Linked DNA regions of Callithrix jacchus. The protein of the gene in region 1 interacts with the protein of each later gene in a pairwise test. Links are inferred from orthologs where the notes say so. Each region holds a gene or a part of one and is shown on either strand. Other genes may lie near its edges.

What was found.
Region 2: the proteins of ABL1 (region 1) and MSH5 interact in binary tests that used the Homo sapiens proteins (3 or more experiments, as listed by UniProt). The link is inferred for Callithrix jacchus from reciprocal best matches to the Homo sapiens genes ABL1 and MSH5.

The regions. Positions count from the first base shown.
Region 1 is NC_133502.1:179,533,087-179,536,687, forward strand, and holds the end of ABL1 (tyrosine-protein kinase ABL1), read left to right. Parts: coding exon 1-1,116; 3' UTR 1,117-3,079; downstream 3,080-3,601. UniProt on the Homo sapiens protein: Non-receptor tyrosine-protein kinase that plays a role in many key processes linked to cell growth and survival such as cytoskeleton remodeling in response to extracellular stimuli, cell motility and adhesion, receptor endocytosis, autophagy, DNA damage response and apoptosis.
Region 2 is NC_133505.1:39,265,907-39,268,813, reverse strand, and holds part of MSH5 (mutS protein homolog 5), read right to left. Parts: intron 2,382-2,907; coding exon 2,253-2,381; intron 1,967-2,252; coding exon 1,894-1,966; intron 1,749-1,893; coding exon 1,639-1,748; intron 1,421-1,638; coding exon 1,340-1,420; intron 1,094-1,339; coding exon 1,006-1,093; intron 731-1,005; coding exon 541-730; intron 431-540; coding exon 304-430; intron 1-303.

The DNA of each region.
Region 1 (3,601 bases):
CCGGCTCTGCCTCGGAAGAGGGCAGGGGAGAACAGGCCTGACCAGGTGACCCGAGGCACAGTGACGCCCCCACCCAGGCTGGTGAAAAAGAATGAGGAAGCTGCTGATGAGGTCTTCAAAGACATCATGGAGTCTAGCCCAGGCTCCAGCCCGCCCAGCCTGACTCCAAAACTCCTCCGTCGGCAGGCCATGATGGCCCCTGCCTCGGGCCTCCCCAACAAGGAAGAAGCTGGGAAGGGCGGTGCCTTAGGGACCCCTGCTGTAGCTGAGCCAGTGCCCCCCACCAGCAAAGCGGGCTCAGGTGTACCAGCAGGCACCAGCAAGGGTCCCACCGAGGAGTCCAGAGTGAGGAGGCACAAGCACTCCTCTGAGTCACCAGGCAGGGACAAGGGGAAATTGTCCAGGCTCAAACCTGCCCCGCCGCCCCCACCAGCAGCCTCTGCAGGGAAGGCTGGAGGAAAGCCCTCACAGAGCCCGAGCCAGGAGGCGGCCGGGGAGGCAGGCCTGGGAGCAAAGACAAAAGCCACAAGTCTGGCTGATGCTGTGAACAGTGACGCTGCCAAGCCCAGCCAGCTGGGAGAGGGCTTCAAAAAGCCAGTACTCCCAGCCACTCCAAAGCCACAGTCCACCAAGCCATCGGGGACCCCCGTCAGCCCAGCCCCCATTCCCTCCACGTTGCCATCAGCATCCTCGGCCCTGGCTGGGGACCAGCCATCTTCCACTGCCTTCATCCCTCTCATATCAACCCGCGTGTCTCTTCGGAAAACCCGCCAGCCTCCAGAGCGGATCGCCAGCGGCACCATCACCAAGGGCGTGGTCCTGGACAGCACCGAGGCGCTGTGCCTCGCCATCTCTAGGAACTCTGAGCAGATGGCCAGCCACAGCGCGGTCCTGGAGGCCGGCAAAAACCTCTACACGTTCTGCGTGAGCTACGTGGATTCCATCCAGCAAATGAGGAACAAGTTTGCCTTCCGAGAGGCCATCAACAAACTGGAGAATAATCTCCGGGAGCTTCAGATCTGCCCGGCGACAGCAGGCAGTGGTCCGGCAGCCACTCAGGACTTCAGCAAGCTCCTCAGTTCAGTGAAGGAAATCAGCGACATAGTGCAGAGGTAGCAGCAGCCAGGTGTTTGGTGTCAGGCCCACCAGAGCTGCCTGCGGGTCCACCCGTACCTGTGACAGTGGCTGACAAGGGACCAGTGAGTCAGCACCTTGGCCCTGGAGCTCTATGCCAGGCAGAGCCCAGGGCCCTGTGGAGTCCAGCTCTACTACCTACATTTGCACCGACTGCCCTCCTGCACCTTCCTCCTCCCTGCCCGGGCACCCTGCTCCGTCTCTGTCCTCGAGTTTTATCTGTGGAGTTCCCGCTCCGTGGACTACAGTTGGCATGCTGGGGCCCGCCAGCCTCGCTCCTGCTTAGCGCTCCAGGCTCTCCAGGCCAGGTGGGAATGGCTGATTTGGAGTGTCCTTTTCGTTTTCTCCCTGGAGCCCCTCTTCCCCTGGCTGGGCCTTTTCCTTCCACTTCTCCAAGAACGGAAGCCTGACTGAGGCCTGTGCATCAGGCCCTCTGCCTGCACTTCCTGGCCTTGCCCCTCCTGTGCTGAAGACATGCTTCAAGAACCACATTTCGGGAAAAGCACACACGGCCATGCACATGGCTGGTCACTCTGCCCTCTGCTGCTGCCCGGGGCGGGATGCGCTCAACACTTCCTCACGTGCAGGACGGCTCTTGATTTGGGTGGAAATCGGTGCTAAAGCCAACCAGCCTTTTGGGTCCTGGGCAGGTGGGAGCTGAAAAGGATGGAGGCACCAGCCGTGTCCTTTTTGTCTGTCCTCTCCACATCCCTGGAGCCCAGCTCTTGCTCTCTCGTGACGTGCACTGTGAATCCTGGCAAGAAAGCTTGAGTCTCAAGGGTCCAGGTCACTGTTACTGCCAACATCCCTCCCCAGCAGAAGGGAGGCAGTGGTAGTTGGGTGAACAGCTGGTGCCAGATAGCCCCAGACTGGGCCAGGAAGGTCTGCAGGGGCCCAGAGTGAACCTTCCTTTCACACATCTGGGTGCCCTGAAAGGGCCAATCCCCTTCCTGCTCCTCTAACATAAGGGAGATTCTTACAAGGCCCATTCCTTTGGAACAAGACAGTCTTCACTTTTCTGAGTTCTTGAAGCATTTCAAATCCCTGCCTCTGTGTAGCCACTCTGAGAGAACAGAGCTGCCACCGGGCACTTGCACACACGCAGGAGGAAAGGCCCTGACCAGTCCCGGCCGCACTCTTGAACTGGGCGAGTATCTTATTTAATTACCATGAGTGACATAGCCTCATGTTCTATGGGGTTCATCAGGGAGTGTTAGGAAAACCACAAATGAAGCCCCTGAAGGCATCGAGTGTTTCACAGAGCACGCCTGGCATCTTCTCCCCGAGGCTGCCCCAGGCTGGAGCCCAGGTATGGGGGCTGTGACTCTGGGCAGGGACCTGGGGTCTCCTGGACCTTGACAGAGCAGCTAACTCCAAGAGCAGTGGGCAGGTGGCTGCGCCCCGGTCTCCACAATGGGAGAACCAGGAGGAGCCGCCTTCCCGCCCCTGTGCTGCCTCGTGCCGCCAGCCTCACACGGGCCCTAGCTTTATGCTCGTCACCTAAACTTGGACTTTATTTTTCTGGTAGAAATGGTTTTCTCTGGATCGTTTTATGCGGTTCTTACAGCACATCACCTCTTTGCCCCCAACGGCTGTGACCCAGCCCAAGGGAGGCATTAGTCACCGACAGCGGCCTTGAAGACAAAGCAAAGCACCCACCCAGGTCCCCCAACCGCCTGTTTCTGTGAGGTACTGGTCCCTTTTTTTTGTTAACGTGATGTGCCACTATATTGTACCCATATCTCTCAGTATGCATCTTTTATAGACGGTCTTTTATCAGTGGCGCGTGCACAGCGCCCACCCTGCTCCCTCGGACGTGTGCAGTGGTTCCTCTGCGTCTCTTGGTCTAGTGCATTTTGTTTCTGTATATGATTCTCTGTGTTTTTTTTGAACCCAAATCTCTCCTCTGTAGTATTTTTTAAATAAATCAGTGTTTACAACATTAGAATCCTTGGCAGATTGCTTCGGCCTGTGATCCTGCCCTGTTGTTCTGAGCCTGTGTGTGTGGGGGCCGGGATGCAGTGGGTTCTGGTGTCCCAATGGGGCTGGAGCCGGTGGCAGGTCTCACAGAGCAACGGTGGCAGGTTGGCCCCAGCTGCCCCAACCCCCTGCGGCCTGGGAGCCCACAACCATTTTTCAGGCACTTGTCCTACTATGCTTGGACGCTTCCTGTACCCTTGGCACTTACCTGCCAGCAGCCCAGCCCTGCCCGAATCACTGGGCATGGGCTGTGCCACCAGCCTGAGGCTGGCTAAGGGCAAATCCCTCCCCACGTGTGCCTGTTCCCTCTCTACGTTTCCACCCTATGCCCCCAGGCGCCCCTCACTCACCTGTTTTTCTCATGCCAGGTGTCTTAGATCTTTGTGTGGACGAGGAGGAGCGGTGGTGTGCTGGCCTTCGGAGCCTGGGAAGGCCATCCCAGACTGAGCCCCACCGCCCTTCCCCAGCTCAGTCCCCACCGAGCTCA
Region 2 (2,907 bases), on another chromosome or scaffold:
TCATAGCCCCATTGGCTAATTTAGGATCAGTAAAGAGGCATGGGACATGGGCAGAGACATACTTGGAAGTGGTGTGTACATACTCAGAGGCGGGTGGAGGAATTTGAGCCATGGAAAGTTCCATTAGAGCATGGCTTTCTAATAGAGAATGAGAACATGTGAGATGGAAGCACATGGTCCTTTCATGAAGGGCGGGGTCAGAAAATGGGGGAAAAGAGCTGCAGGAGCCTGGGTTGGGTGGCAAATAGGGGTGGAGAAGATGCAGAAGATGCCAGAGGCTCAGGCTGTAGGGCTTCTCCTCACCTGTTTGAGGTATATGCTCTTCCCTGATGAGTTGGGTCCAGTGATGACTTTGACTCTTCCTTTGTCCCCACCACATTCTGTGGAGTTGGGCACAAAGGTTCGGGCACAGAGTTCCATCAGAGGATGTCTGCAGTGGGTGGAGAGGCACCTCACATAGCTTGTGGATCCAAATGGATGAACCCCCAGAAGATGGAGCCTTTGGACCCCTCATGTTTATTCTTCCACCTCTATTCTTACCTGCCATTCTGGATTCGTACCCCAAGGACTTGTGGGGAGTAACGGGGCCTTGAGTAGCCATAGTCCCGGGCAGCACTGGCAAGAGCCAGCAGGACGTCCAGGCGGGAGGCAAGGTCTAATACTCGGGTTAAGACAGCTGCTCGTGCTAGCACCTGGCACTGCAACTGGTACATCAGCAGCGTCTCCTGGTCTGAGAGGGGGTGAGGGAGGGAGCTGGAGGTCAGCTCCAGGGGAAAGTGAAGGAGAGGCAGAGGCCCCTAGAGGGATCTGGAAACAGGTATGCAGATAAAATCTGAGACCTGAAGACATTCAGAGGAAAAGACACAGAGTCAGAGTGAGAGAGACAGAGTAGGAAGAGAAGGGGCCTGTTGGAAACATTCCCAAGTTGCCCACTCTCCTCCTGCCCCTGGCTGCTGCTTTTTTAAAAACATCTTACAATGCACATAACCTCTGGCTCCTCCTCACCCCGGATCTCGCAGTGCAGGTCCCCCAGCAATGCATCCAGCTCCTTGGTTCGGGCACTACGATAGTGAAGCTTCTCCTCTGAGAGAAACTGGGTACAGGGGTTCAAAACTGTGGGCTTTGCATCTCTTGGTCCTCCTCCTCTTCCTCACCTTCCTAACCTCACCTCCAGCCCCTAACCCTGACTTCTCTTTCCTTTGCCTCAGTGCTGGTAAAGCTCAGAGTAAAACTACAGAGGAGAGAGCCCATACTGGGCAGTGCTGCTACGGGGTAAGGCCCTTCCTCAGCTGCTGACTCATTTTCCTCATCACTCACCTACAAAGGTTGAGGGTCTTACCATGAAGTCCAGTCCGTCAATCTCAAAGTCACTGGCCTCTACCATGGAAGACAGGCGAGGAATACAAAGAAGGAAGCCGATCTGGGGAGAGTAAAGAGGAGATACCCTACTCTCCTGCTTGGAGACTTACTGGACACCTCCTCTCCCTAGAGGAAGCTTAAGAGATCACTGTATCCCCACAAAAAGGTATTCATGTTCTTCAGGCTGCCCCATAAGTTTTCTTATCTACCAGTGTGTCTTTCATAAGCCTATCTCCCCCAAAAGACCTCTGAAGGCTACACCCACTCTCCTACCCTCACCAGAGGGATATAGATGACACTGCATGAAGGAATACGGGAGTCCAGATTCTCCAGCTCCTTGCGGGCAACCTCAGTGAGGAAATTGGGAAGTCCCATCAATCTTCGTTTTTCTACGAGGGTGGAAGACATGTGGTTATCAAAAGTGAGGCTCCTGCCCTGGTTTCTATGAAGATCCCCAGCTGTGGTGACCACCTGCCAAGGATGGTAGTCCGTCCCTGCGCAGGGCTCAAAGGCCCATCCGCACCCAACACTCACTCTCATCAATTTCAGGATCTATGTTGGGGAGCACTGTGAAGCGATTTTCAGCAAGACTGCCCTCAAAGTCTACCTGAGGAGGTAAGAAGTACTGATTCTTAGCACCCGGTACCCTCTCTGTCCTGTTCCTCAGCTCTCCTTGGGCCCCAATTCTCCCTGCAGTCCTGCTTTAACTCTCACCCTCCAGCTACTTCCCTGAATTTCTGCCACCTCCTCTCACCATCCTATTCTTTAACTACCCAACTGACTTCAATAACTCCCATGCTTCCCCATCTCGCACACTGCATTCCCTGGGCTCCAGTCCCTCTCCTTTCTCTCCCTGACCTCCCTGGGTGCACTCGCTCTTTCCATCCACTCACTACTTTCCCAATGAGGCTGGCGATGTGGTGCAGGTCATCAGAGAACTCTTGAGCAATGTCCCGAAAGAGCTGGATGGACTGCGGCAGGGAGCAGCAGGCATCCCTCAGGCCCAAGGCACTGTACACCGTCTGTGAGAGAAACACAACAAGGAGGGCAGCCCATATGCAGCTTGGGCTGAGGTGAGGGTAGGGACAAACTCAGAAGAACAAAGACCAGCAGAGAAGATCACAAGAACAAAGCCGGAAGATCTCAAAGGCAAAAAGAAACAGTGAGACAGAAAATGGCATCTGTAAAATTCGATGCCAGGCAGTGTACTAAACCCTGCAGCTACAAAGACAATTAAAATATGGTCCTGGCCAGGCACGGTGGCTCACACCTGTAATCCCAACACTTTGAGAGGCCAAGGTGGGAGGATCACCTGAGGTCAGGAGTTTGAGACCAGCCTGGCCAATGTGGCAAAACCCCATCTCTACTACAAATACAAAATCAGCCGGGCATGGTGGCATATGCCTGCAATCCCAGCTACTCAGGAGGCTGAGGCAGGAGAATCACTTGAACCCAGGAGGTGGATGTTGCAGTGAGTCAAGATTGTGCCATTGCACTCCAGCCTGGGCAGCAAGAGTGTAACTCCAACTCAAAGTAAATAAAATAATT